Linked DNA regions of Drosophila melanogaster. The protein of the gene in region 1 purifies or fractionates together with the protein of each later gene. This does not show direct contact. Each region holds a gene or a part of one and is shown on either strand. Other genes may lie near its edges.

What was found. The genes of interacting proteins can lie anywhere in the genome.
Region 2: the proteins of RtGEF (region 1) and Git purify together in Drosophila melanogaster (affinity purification with western blotting; 2 studies listed by BioGRID, with this or other methods). This does not show direct contact.

Annotation. Positions count from the first base shown.
Region 1 is NT_033779.5:20,351,281-20,358,157, reverse strand, and holds the start of RtGEF (Rho-type guanine nucleotide exchange factor), read right to left. Parts: upstream 4,192-6,877; 5' UTR 4,091-4,191; intron 2,796-4,090; 5' UTR 2,749-2,795; coding exon 2,411-2,748; intron 2,353-2,410; coding exon 2,152-2,352; intron 2,074-2,151; coding exon 1,653-2,073; intron 1,597-1,652; coding exon 1,357-1,596; intron 1,283-1,356; coding exon 1-1,282.
Region 2 is NT_033778.4:10,640,321-10,647,356, reverse strand, and holds Git (G protein-coupled receptor kinase interacting ArfGAP), read left to right. Parts: upstream 1-1,929; 5' UTR 1,930-2,019; intron 2,020-2,202; 5' UTR 2,203-2,226; coding exon 2,227-3,102; intron 3,103-3,394; coding exon 3,395-3,551; intron 3,552-3,614; coding exon 3,615-3,700; intron 3,701-3,762; coding exon 3,763-4,047; intron 4,048-4,420; coding exon 4,421-4,611; intron 4,612-4,683; coding exon 4,684-5,080; intron 5,081-5,142; coding exon 5,143-5,346; 3' UTR 5,347-5,539; downstream 5,540-7,036. Other genes in the region: Elp2 (elongator complex protein 2), read right to left, coding at 1-495, 551-1,334, 1,386-1,508; CG11883 (uncharacterized protein), read right to left, coding at 6,769-6,843, 6,908-7,003. UniProt on the Drosophila melanogaster protein: GTPase-activating protein for ADP ribosylation factor family members, including ARF1.

The DNA of each region.
Region 1 (6,877 bases):
TTCTTGTGGCAAGATTTGGATCTGTCTTTGCATTTCCTGTCGACGGACTGTCGCTTTTGTGGGAAACTCGCTTATCCGAGTTAAGATTATGGCCCGGAAAGGGCGTTAGCTCCCGATGCAGCTGTAGAGGTTTTTCTAGGATCTCGTCGTAATTGTAGAGTAGTTCTGCTTGCAGTTTATCCGGAGCAGATAGACAGGCGGCGGGTAGATCAATGGAACTGGAGTGCAACTCTTCATCCTGCTTCGCATCCACACTCTGATTCTGCATTTCCTGGCGATCTCGCCACGTCGGTACATATACCTCTGTATTTTTGCTGTGGTTGAACCGATTGCCCACAAATATGGTCGGCATGCTGTGCCGTTCTGTCGGTGAAGCTGGCAGAGGAGTGGGTGGCTCTTGGATACTCGACTCCCTGCTGAGATCATCAGGCATACTGGCCAGATTCTCGCAGGCGGTGAATGCACCGCCCAATCTAGCTGCAAAAATGGAACTCGCATCGGAACTTTGTTGTTGCAGGGAGAACGATGGCTTGACCTTAAGAATTGGCTCTTCCTCAACACAGTTTGTGATGCTGCCACCCACACCTAGCTCCAAAGTTGCCGTGGATGTGTGCACACTGGAATTTCGAGTCGTGGACTTCCGAGCCAAAGCTCTTAGTGCTCTGGATCCTATAACAAGAGACTCCTTTTTTAACTCGTTGAGCGCTAGAACTTCGTCCGTGTCCGCGGAATCCAATTTAATGAGGTTGATAGAGGAACAGTGCCTCCTGGCACCCGTGCCATGGTCCACGAATGTGCCTGTGGAGTTGCACATGGAATCGTTCCGCTTGTTTTGGTAAAACTGCACATATTCAAACGGATCCGAGTCGCAGGAATGCAAAAAATCATCTTCAAAGTCATCGTCATAGCTCTCCGAGTCCGTTGGTAGTTCAATTGCATCCTGTCGTTCCAACTCGGACTGCCCCGAATCCTGATTGGTATTGAGATCTTTTAACTTTGCAGATGCCTTGTGACAACGCCTTTTGCGCAACGCAATCCTTTTGAGATCGATGCTCTGGCGAGCCTGCGGATACAGAAGCATCTTTACGATAGCACTCCTCAGTCCGCCGCCTTTAACAAGCCTGGCAAAGTGAGCACTAAGATTGGCGTACGGAGCTGTTGCTGGGTAATTGCTTGGGGGAAGAGTCACACGGAGAGGTCGCACATGGCACGGGGGGCTGGAGTAATAGGCACACAGCGAGAATCGCGTGCAGTAGCCCCGTGAATCCAAATGTTGACTCAGCTGCTCACGGTTTAAAGTGTCGCCAAAACGAAACGATAATAAAGGTGAATATATAGGAGAAATATACTACTTACATGAGCGGCATTTAGGTGTCCTAGCGAAGAGTTGCTCAAGTTACTCAATTGCCGTTTGATGCCCATCGGCAAGCTGGGATTATTGGCATTGAGCAGCTCCACCCACTTGTTGGCCTCATTCGGACCCTGACAAACTGCTACAATGCGATCGATCAAGGGACTGCTTATCTCAAAGGCGTTCTTCAGGGCATCCGTGTCCTCCAGGCGATTCACTATGATCCCAGTTAAGGGTAGCTTGCCCTGCGTGTGAAAACAGATTACAAACAAATTCGCCATGTTGTGCTTGTGTTTCCCACCTCATAGATGAATGCACTCATCCGCTGACTAACGCTAAGGAATAGCAATGTTTGAGGGAAGAGCACAAAGTATCGGTCGCGATGATCAGCTCCAACTGCAACGCTGCCCATGTGGATGATGTCCCCGAGGGTGCTCAGCTCTTGGCCCTGCCATCCACGCACTGGCCCCGTGAGCACTTGCAGCTCCAGCTCCTTTTGGCGACGGGTGGCCGAGCAGGTGGCAGCTATGTCTTTGTACACGGCAACACTCCGCTGGGTGTCGCCGCGATCCGGATGACTGCTCTCCATATGCCGCTCCAGCTCCTGCAGCATGGCCGAGTATTTGTCCAGTCGCCGGAAGGGCTTTGATAGACCCGTCGTGAGCACAAGTAATCCAGGAGTGGCTGCGCCCTGTCGTTCCATATACTTTTCCAGCTCGTCCCTTTTGGAATAGAAAAAAATTTATATTTATTAACAATTGAACACCACAATATATGTATATAAAGCGAGGAGCACATACTTGTACTTATCCAGTATGACAATGGCCTTTGGATGGGCAGCGCAGTACGCCTGGTGCACCTTCTTCATCAAGGGGGCGCTGGTGAGAAATAGTTTTCCCACTCGATCGTTGCACTCCTCGATCTGGATAAGCAAATCCTCGTGCGTACGCACAATCTCTACAAAGTTACACATCAGCTGGGCGTACTCATCCTGACTGAGTCTGTAGAAGAAGCCCTTTTAGATTATATTCAAATTATGTCAGAGAATAGAGAACTTACATTTGCGTCTGTTGCATGGGCTCCAAGAAATTCTCGAGCAGACCCTGCAGCTCGGCCACATGGGCGCGCTCCGAGTCAAGCAGATCCTTGAGCACCACAGACCGATACTCCTGGATCTCCTCCGGCGGCCTTATGGTCTCCGTTAGAGGCAGCTGCACCTTGCACTCATTCACATAGTTGCTGGGAAACCAGCCAGTCTTATCGTTCAGCGTTCCCTCCCACCAGCCACCATCCTCGCGCTGGGTAACCGTGATGACATCGCCCTTCTGGAAGCACAGCTCGTCGTTATTGCTGCCCATGAAGGAGTACTCCGCCTGCACCACCAGTGGCTGATCCATTATCGGATTGTTCAGGGCTGATCCGAGTGCGCACTAGATTGATTCAACTGAAACGAGGCGATGGGTATTGAACTTGAAACATCAGCCAGGCAATTTGCTCAATGAAAAAGCATATGTGAGCATATCGCTCGTTATATACAGCACCTACGCATTATTGCAGCGATGAGCTACATCATCGTCGATCGCTCGGCATTCCTCAGCCTCTTGGAATTAGCCGAGCAATAATTATGGCCCCAAAGAAGAAAACATTTTGAAAACATCTGTCGAGAAACGCGTGCGCAAGTTTCTTGACACTTTTCCGGCGACTCCCCTCCGGCTTTTCTTTCCTAGTTTACTGCAAGTGTCTGGAAAACTCGTGCGCTACACGATGGCCAAGGTCACACAAGCTGCGAGGATCCATTAAAAAATTGGGTAAAAATCACTCGCGCGTATTGTGAAAGAAAAACTTTTCGGGCCATAAAAACAATTTGAATAGCCGGACAGGACAGGCCAACATATAAATCATAAACAACGGCCACGTCGCGTCTAAAAATATTTACGACCTTTTTTATTTGGTTTGTTCGAACAACTCTTTAAGAGATCAACATTTCATTCAATCGTTAAACACTTTCGTTGACGGAAATGGGATTGGCACATTGGATTCTAAAGGCAAGTGCACTCTATACATCAGATATCTATAGAAAGAAGTAAAATCGCAATATTTTCGAATGCCTCGAAAATTATATTACGACATTGTTACTCACAAAAACCCCCAATATTCCAAAGCTTAATTGAAATGGTCTCTTGTATGAGTGGCACTAGGGGGCTAGTTAGTGGATGTCATTATTTTTAAAGTCGTTTATAAAAGTCTTTAGCCTAGTCTATTCGTTGGTACTATTTAAAATTGGCAGCGCGACGTGTGCTTTTATTAATATAGGAATTCCTATGTTTATGCAAAAATTCAATTCTGGACTGAAAATGTTAAAAAGTGATATATTTTCTAAAAATAGATGCATCACATTTGTTTGCTATTGCCGCAATGAGTAAACGCAAAAATATGAACAACTTGGTTTATTTTGCCCAAATAGTTTTCTAGAATACTAAAAATAAAAAACAGACGAAAGTGTACATATTGGCGGATCGCAAGTTCTATATGCCAAACTGGAACGTGTAGTTTTTCACGAATTATTACCGCTCTCATGAGATTGTCAAGATTTATAGGCTGATGAGAATATTTCCCTAAGGCAAGGTCACGTTTTGGTTGCACAAACGCATGAAAATTTCTTAAAATGTCACTTTTTCGCCATCTAGGCACTCGAATACATATACCCGCTACTCTTTTGTATAGATGGGTGATATATACTTTTTCGACAATAAATTGTGGTACGACAATTTGACGTTTTTCGCCGTTTTTCTGCTCTCAGACGATGCACCGCACGCGTTCATTGCTTCAGCGAAACTGCCGAGAAAAGCGGAAAATACCGAAAAGCTGGCGACATATGGCAGACGAATTTTCCACGGCAACCGAAAGTGCCACTCTCGCAGTCATTTTCTGAGAGTCTCGTCGGATCGCAGGAGATTCGAATATATTTTCACATGTACGCGAGCGTTTTCGACCGGACACATCGCATATTTTCATGAAAAATCAACAGAGATGTGACAAAAAATATGAATCCGGGGACAACCTTTTCATCTGCGTTTCCAAAATGAGGATCTTAATTGTATTTCATTGAGAAATAAGCGACACTCGCTGTGCTTTTGTATTGTCTATTCAAAAAAACCACATAAAAATATTTGTGCCAAAATATATGTGGGTTGCCTATTGGATGTGAGATCTTCCATGTTTGTGGATTCAGTCATCAATCGAAAACTTCTTCATATTCAAGCATTTTAGAATTATTTCAGAAAAATTCACCTGTTCCGCTCAGTTTCCTGTTGATCATACAATATATGCCCGTGAATCATAGGAAACGTTTATGGAATGTGTAGACTTGTATAATCTAAAATTTAGAATCGTGCGACACACATTGTGGTTTTAATGGGATTATGGCCTCAGGAAATGTTAAATTCGTCATATTTTTAGAATTTAAGATAGAATATAAATCAAATTTAACCCAAAGACTTTCATTCTGAGACAAACAAGGAGGCTGGAACTGTAAACTCTACTGAATAAAGATGTTGAAGCTTATAGACCGACGGAGAATTTTTGAGCTAGAGTGACCAAGAACTAAATATTTTTTCCACAGAATATTCGTATTCAAATCTGCCGAGATCAGAATGTCGGCAAAAAATATGCTTTATAAGTGCAGCGCCAAACCCAAGCCGAATGTATGTCACTTTCCTTCGCTTCGTTTAACCCTGAAATCACTTTAAGTCCATGGCCGGGCACAATCAAATTTCCGTAGGTGGTGGTGCTCCAAACGATGCATCGGAGGTCAGATGAGCAGATGCATAAATGCAGATACCGAGCGGCACACACGCAGATATGTGGGCACATACAAAGATGCATACATACCCCATTGAAGCTCTCGGAACCAAATTTTAATTAATTCATTAAACTTGCACATGGCGCCGCGCGGATCGGCTATGCGGCCCCATATCCAGATACAGATACAGATACAAGTTTCAGATACAGATACACCGGGCCCACGCTCTCTGAGTATAAGAGACAACTCTTTCGGTTATTAACGATCCGTCGCCGAAGGCGAAATTCAAATGAATATCCCTGCCGCTTCCGGAAATGCGCAATTTGGCGAGTAAAACGTCGCATCCATCGGAGGGGAGCACCCCAAATCAAATCACCGAATGTTTATTTTCGTGGGACACTGGGGAACGTAAACAACAAAGACGAGAGATGTAAAAGAAAGGCGAGTGGATTGTTTTGCTTGGCAAAGTCAGCGGCAAAGACAAACAAAGTCAGCCAAAGACAAACCAAATTTATGCAGTTCTGCCTGGTCGGGACCGGATCCGAATCGCTATCCCTACTAGCTCAGCCGAACTGCACTCAATAAGGCCTCTTCAATGTGTCAATACCGAGATTTACAGGCTGCACAGCCGCCACTTGAGATGCATTTCCTCAGATATATGGACGTAATATAGTTTGATTGCGTCGCTCGCCGTATTTATAGATACTTCGTGGCGGAGGAAGTCATCGGTGGCTGTGGGCACACCGAAGAGGTGAGCGAGTGGGAGTTCCAATAGCTTGTGGGGATCCGCTGTTCTCGACACCAACACACCAAGAACGAGGTCAGCAGCGGAAATATGAAGAAACGCGGTTTCCCAGCAGACACGAGTGAAAATCAGGCGCATGATTTGACGGCCAATGTTTGTTTTGGGAAATCACAGGCCCACATACAGATATTGCCAACATGCTTTCATTAAAGCGTAAGAATAACAACCATAGGGCGCAAAGAGCCAAGTGGTTCGACGAGATCTTACCCTAGACTTTTTCACATTCCCCACATAAATATATACAAACAAATATAACTTTTTAAACCATGAAATAATTCAATTTGATTTAAATAATATTTTCTAGGGTAGCTATTTATTTTGCAAACTGCTTTTGACCTGGTGGCCGAAACCAAGATCATGTGAGAGTAAAGAAAAGCATGAATTTGCATTCAGCTTGCCACCACCTTTCATAGGAAATTCTCTTGGCAGCGGTTCAAAATTGTTCGGGTAATGATGCTTGTTGGTTCTGGGAATCCAATGGGGGAGTTTGGGGCCGGGAGGCAGGTGGCATGCGGCAGGCAGCGGCAGGCAGAACGTGCCTCCGTCGTCGTCCGGCAGTGCATTTTACTTTCGCAGCGAGTGCTAGCAAACAAACGCTTTTCGGGAGGAGCTGGAACGGATGCCCCACGAGGAGCCCTGCTATTGACCCAATGGATTATGCAGGCGGACCTCTGAACTCCAGAAACCGGCAACAAATTACTATTGCACGAGCAGCAGCAAGTTGAACAACAGTTGTGCCGAAAGTACAGGAGTCATTACATAAAATGTATTCTTGAGCTTTAAGCTTTAAATGTCCTTTGTTGGGACTAAACGATTGAAACTGTTTTTAACGTAAATAGGATTTTGTCATGTGTCTAAAAATGTATTAGATTTTCTATATAAATATGTTGCTTAAAAGAAAGTGTTGAAATACAAAAAA
Region 2 (7,036 bases), on another chromosome or scaffold:
TGAAGTTGGCTGGCGCTTGAAAAGTGCGCACAATCTTTTCCTCAGCTCCGCTGGCAAATTTATAACGTGAAAGCAAAGCCAACGCCTGCATATCATATCCATGAATTTGTGGACGAGCCAGCTCGTGCCACGTGGGATTAGCTCCATCCTGTAGCCACGGAGCGTGCAGTCGAGTTGTTTGGTCTGCAGACGCGGTCATCAAATAGGCGCCGCTATGTTCCCAAGCCAGATCCCTCACTTCGCCATAATGACCACCAACGATGACACCTGGGGTCCAGAGCTGTGGCCGATCTGGATCTTGGCTCCAAATATGAAAGCCACCTTGGTAGCTGTGGGCCATGATCGAGTGTCCATCGCCGGAGAACTTTCCACCATAGAAGCCCACGGAGTTTCCACCCACTTCACCCACGCGAACTTCTTCCAACCAAATGCCTTCTTCCGTAGGTGCCCAAATTATGACGGTCTTGTCAATAGAAGCGGATAGAAGGCGGAGCTCTAAATGGATAACGTTTTTGAAAGGTCTTTGGGGAGTTCAATTGCTGTGCTTTACCTTGATCGGGTGTTTTGTGCCAGTGGACCCCATAAATCCATCCCTCATGTCCATATAGAACCGATTCCAAGCTCACTGCATACCAGGCTTCTTTCCCCAGTTGTAGTATCTTCTCCTCCACCTTTATCTCATCGTCGTTGTGGCTCAATTGATGCAGATCAACCCGATTCTCTTGCATTTGCTCTTTGCTGCGCGGCGCAATCCGCCAGAGACGAATAAAGTTATCCTGAGAGCCACTGGCCAGCAGCAAATCCTCGCCATCGACAACGAAATCCAGACCTCGAACCCAGTCTTCGTGGCCAGTGAGCTTGTGTTTGCGTTGGAACTGCCGACCTAGTGAATCTCCTTCACCTGCGGTTTCTACCTGTTCCGACCACAGGGAAACAGTCTCGTCATCGCCACTGAAGGCGAGCAGAACCTGGTTGCTCTTGGGCAGCAGCTGCAGTCGAAGACAGAAGCAGAATCCGTCGGATAAAGATATGGTTTGAAAGCACACATAATTATTATCCTGGAAAGTCCACAACTTGATGGTGGTATCTGCTGCTGCGGTCGCCAAAAGCCAGGAGCCATCCTGTTGGCGAATTCCATCCACAGTATTTACGCCACTTGTGTGTCCTTTGAGAGTGAAGCTCTTAGTCGTTCCCGTTTCATCCAGTTCCCAGAGAATAGCAATTGCATCATCTCCGCCGGAAAGAAGTTTGTCGCAATCCAACCACCTCACAGTGTTTACTCGCTTTGTGTGCTCCACCAGCGTGAACAGGACCTTGGCTGAGTTGCCTTGAAACTAAAAATTGGTTAAATATACTATGTTTCCAGTAAAGGCAAAATTTCCTACCTTTGGATCCATAATGGCTATGGCGTTACATGCCCCATAGGCAATCCAACCATTTGGACCCCAATCCGCGCATTCCGTGCAGCGGTTGCAGGCCACTGAAGTATGCAGATTCTCCACTTGCATGCTAATGTTGCACTTCTATTTTTTAATGACAACTAAATTCGAATTGAATGTCGGCGAAATTGTTTTGTTTTGGCACATGTGCTTCAAATAATGCAGTGCTTCTAAAACTGTCTCATCTGTTCATAAACATATGATTTCTAAGGGAGTGCAAGTGAGACAACTATATGTTGTGAAGAAGCTGGAATAGTGAGGCCAGCCGACAATATTGAAAAGTCTGGCAGGGCTAGTTACGAAAGTTACACCTGTTTGGTTTTTGATTTTTCGGTATTGCAGACCATTGCAAAATTTTGACCGAATAAATATTGCAACTTCTGTAATACTGGGTATATGATGGATTTTAAAATTTGAAAAGGCACAAACACAGCTGCTACATTCGTCAGCCTTTTCACTTCAAATCTAGCGCTTTTCCACTGCTACTGTTTGGTCACACTGGTGCGCAAAATAACTAAAACAAACTCGGAAAAGGCGTCCGCAAATGTTTTCTTCTGCTGCTCCCCGCGTTTAATTAAAAGTAATTTTCCTAATTGATGGCCAGGGGTGAGCCCCAGTTGCTGATATTTGACCTTTCACCGCCAGCGTTTCGGATTTCCAATCAGAAAGCCAACAGCTTGCAACTGACTCACAACGAAGTCACTTGAGATTGTCCGAGTTTTTTTTCAACTTCGGTATTCTATTTTTCGTATCTCCCCTGCAGCTTGTGAGCGTCTTGGAATGCTGAATGTGTTTCGCCAGCAGTATAATCGAAGCGCACAGGAAGTTATTTATAGCGCCGCCGGATTTGGATCATTCCGATCCAGCCACACCCACGATTTCGACCAGATCCAAAATGCCGAGGGGGAAATCCCGCCTGCAAACCGAAGTTTGTGGCGATTGCGGAGCTGGTGATCCATCCTGGGCGAGCATCAACCGGGGCATCCTTCTCTGCGCCGACTGCTGTTCGGTGCACCGCAGTCTGGGCAGGCACATCTCCATTGTGAAGTCTCTACGCCAGGGTAACTGGGAGCCCTCGGTTCTGAACTTTGTGAACTCTCTAAACGCCCATGGAGCCAATAGTGTTTGGGAGCATCATCTGCTGGATGGCAGCACCAACTCCACCGGCGGAAAGCACGTGCCACGCTGGCGGAAACCCACGCCCAAGGATGCACTCCATCCCACCAAATCCGATTTTATTAAGGCCAAGCATGTGAATCTAACGTTCGTGCTAAAACCCAGTCTCCAGGATGACGATGATGGCAATGGCTCAGCGGGCTGTCTGGAACAGGAGCTGAGTAGACAGCTCCATGCCAGCGTGCGGACCAGCAATCTAGAGACTTCACTGCGCTTCTTGGTCCAGGGTGCAGACCCAAATTACTACCACGAGGACAAGCTATCAACGCCACTTCACATGGCCGCCAAGTTTGGCCAGGCATCACAAATCGAGATGCTGCTCATCTATGGAGCCGATGTGAATGCCTTGGATGGCAATGGGATGACTCCTCTGGAACTGGCCAGGGCCAACAATCATAACACCATCGCCGAAAGACTGCTTGATGCCATGTACGATGTCACCGACAGGATCATTACCTTCCTAGGTGGCAAGAAGCCAGATCATGCGGTGAGTTTAGATCTTTAATTACCTGCAGAGTGAAATTATACTTTAATTGGACAAACCATTTAACCTTATCCATTGATTAATCATATATGTATTAAGCCAATTAAGCTATATCCTTGTAACTCCTTAAGTTGTCTTCAGTCTAAAGTTTATAACTATCTATTTAAATTTTTGTTAGTCACAGAACTATATTTATTTAATGGATTCATATTTCCATGAGCAAATGCACAGTTGACTCGACCTTTCCTACCCATTTCCTTATTCCGTTCTATTTAAATACTATTTCCATACGTAGAGTGGCCGCCACATGATTATTCCGGATGCCAATGGCGCGGACATAAGCGAGCAACTGAAGATTGCACGTGGAAAGTTGCAACTCGTGCCAAATAAGATGTTTGAGGAGCTGGTCATGGACCTATACGATGAGGTGGACAGACGCGAGTGCGAAGCCAGTGAGTATGACTGCTAAACATAGACTACAAACAAAGCTAATCTTATTTTTCTTAACGAAATAGTCTGGTCGACAAGCACCCTGAATGCTGATCATGCAACTGTGCCATTTTTGCCGGCTAATCCATTTTTGAGCGCCACGCGCAATCAGGTTTGACCTCGCCGTACATTAATGATTCGAACCTTCATTCATTGACATGGTCTCGCCTACAGGGTCGTCAGAAATTGGCACGCTTCAATCGCGCCGAGTTCACTGGTCTCTTGACCGACGTGCTCGTCGATGCTATGCGACGCCAGAATATGGCCAACCTGCGTCCAATGGATGCCCCAGTGGCCGGGCACCAGTCGCTGCAATCGCTGCCGTATGCCAACAACTCAATGCTGCTCGGCTCGTTCGAGCAGGGCGGTCATGATCCGAATCTGTCGGACGACGAGCCCATTTATGATCCGGTGGCCAGCGATGACGACTATGCCCCAGTGCCACCAATGGCCCAGCAGGTAAACCTAATGCGGCAAAAGATACTCAAGCTGAACAATAGCTTTGGCTAGAAGCGTAAGCGAAGACTGACATTTAGACAACCCGTGCTGTACCCATTGTGTTCATCCGTAGGCCAGGGCACTATAGCTCCCTGATTTTAGGCAACCTAATCCATTTTCAAAGGTAGAAGTCCAAATGTAGAACATAAGCCTCAATAAAACTAGCTGATACTTGTGAAAATGTAGTTTAAATAAGTAGTAGTTGGTACCGTGATTTGTCTGCCTTGCCTTTTGTTTTTATGCAATATTTATTTTTAAAGATTTTGTAATTATTAGTTGTACTTGATTTATATTGATTTATTTTCCTTGTTTTTATGCTTTTTATTTTACTTAGGCCATTGTGCATACGCCACCGCGCAGCGCGAATTCGCACAACGAAATGGAAACGCTGCGCAAACAGCTGAACGATTACAAATCGGAGATCAATCAGCTAAAGAACGTGGTGCAGATGCTGTCCAGCGAGAACACGCAGCTCAAGTCCAAGTTCTCGAGCGCATCGAACAACAGCGTGTACGATGAGCCACTGTGAGATTTTTCATTTGAATTTATTTGGCTAGCTTTATTTTTATGATTTGTTTTAAATTTTCCTTTGCATAGTCGCATTGATCTGAGCTTGAGCAGTCCGGATACAGAGCACGAGCCTCTGTCGCTACCCGAAGGTGGGACTGCCAATGGGGAAAGCGGCTCCTCCAATGATTCGTCAAATCAATCGACCATCAAGCGTCCAGCCAGCATGTACGAGCGTCGTTTGGTACCCAATGTGGCCAAGGGCAATACGGACATACGAAATACGACCAGCATGTACCAAATGGCTGGGGATGGCAAACCTTTTGGTGAGGAGGTCAAAGTGCGCTCTGACTTGGTCACACGCCGTCTTAAGGAGCTCATAAGAGCTATGCAGCCAGTGCCAGAGGATCAAAAGCAGTCGATTGCTCCACATGGAGAGCTTATACGAAGTGCCGTGACTGATTTAATTGCCCTTTATGCCAATTTGGTAAGATGAACATAGGGGCTTCCTTTATAAGGATGTTTCATAATCATAAACATATATTTTAGCCACCGAATGCCAGTGACCCGTCTCGCGAAACCCTTAAACTGCTAACCCGCCAGAACATTCTCATCCAGCACGAGTGCGAGAATCTGCAGAAAGCCATCGAGGCGGATGACAAGCAGGCCATACAGAAGAACACCTTGGAGGTGCGCGACTGCGCCTTCCACATTGCCAGTGCCATAAAGACTTTGGTGTTGCAGTTCTATTGAGACGCCCAAAACACAATCATCGACATAGAAGTTTAAACTCACTCACTCTTTTTTGAAGTATTAACCGACCACTTTAGTGCCCTGCTGACTAACAAAAGTGCTTCCGCCAAATAATTTAAAGAATCCCCTTTACATATAGTTTATGTATTTAATAAATGTTTACATAAATCAATGTACTTCGTTCAATATACACAAAATGCGTTCTTCTACGGGCTAATGACCCATTGCAAAATAGTTTAAAAGTGTTGAAGGATTGGCCCTCAAATTCAAAGGGGGGGAGACAAAGGAGGTGGAAAGATTTACGATATCTGTGTATATATATATATATTTATGGGTCCTTTATAATTTTAATAATCAGGTGCATTTTGAGCCTGTATATTGTTCACTTTAGTTAACTGTACGTTCTAAGCATGGACAATCAGTTAAGCATGGAGTACATATGTATAAGTGGCTTCCTCTACTTATTGTTTAACTTTGTGTAATTGAGTGGGTAGCTGCTGCCTTTGCTCTGGCTGTTTTTCTGACCTCCGGCTGGTGGTCGGATTGCTCGCCTATGGACAAAAATACACTCGTGGTGGTTGTGGTGTGCAAGTTCAAGGAACTATTTAAGATTAAAGCATTTATCCATGAGTGTTGCACGACTGTGCTCGCGGTCTCTAAAAAATAATATGCTCTGCCATGTTCGAAGCGCACCAAAAGTGTCCATAAAAATATACACATCCCATTTTGACATTCAAAATCTAGGTGCATTGTCTAAAATATTGCTTAACATTCACTTTACATCTGCTTGCCCCTTCAGTTTGCTACTCGTAGTCCTCCTCGTCGCGGTCCAGTGGTTTTCATTTGCTTGCGTACAACCTACAGTATTTGATTGTGTTCGTGGACTCGGGATTTTTTAAAAACAACTACTTGGAATATCTGAAGGTTTTTTCCCAAAAGCTCGGCTCAAACTCTTTTCGTTATCTAGATCACAAAACATAAGGGCTGCTCTGTAGTTACAGTAATAATAATCAGTTGGTTGTGTAAATCAGTTTATCTAATTAAAAGTAAATTAAACTAGCGGTAAGCTTTAGGTACACGTACTCACTACACATGCATCATATACAATATCAATATCAATATCTCTGGGGAAGTCTTACAAACGTTCACAACGAAACTTAGCCGAAAAAAACAGTGGAGCATTAACAATAAACGGTAATAATATAGGACACGATCCCACAGATCTGCCAACTATCTAACTAGCTAAATGGTTATATCTTCGCTTTGCTTTTGCCTAAACCGTACTCAAATGTTTCTCTCCACATCGGAACCTGTCCCTAAATCAATTTGTCTTATTTTCTTGTAACTAGAAAAAACGAAAAAGAAATAAAGAATACAATAAATTAAATGCAAATTGTAAATCAAATGACTTTTGGTAGTTCTTTACTCGTCCTCAGCTTCGGTGATTGTGGAATTCATTATGTGCGTCTCCTTTTTGAACAGTAACTGTCGATGATGCTGCGGGAATAAGGATTGCTTAGTGTCAATTGTTATATTAAATATACAGAATATTGTATATTACTTCTTCGTTTTGAATCATAACGATACGGTGCTCCAGTTGTGGCGCCAAATCGCATGTGGACTGCTCCAGGTCATCCAAGGACGCACGTCGTAACATCTTTAAGGGAGTAAATATTTCATTTCAGATATT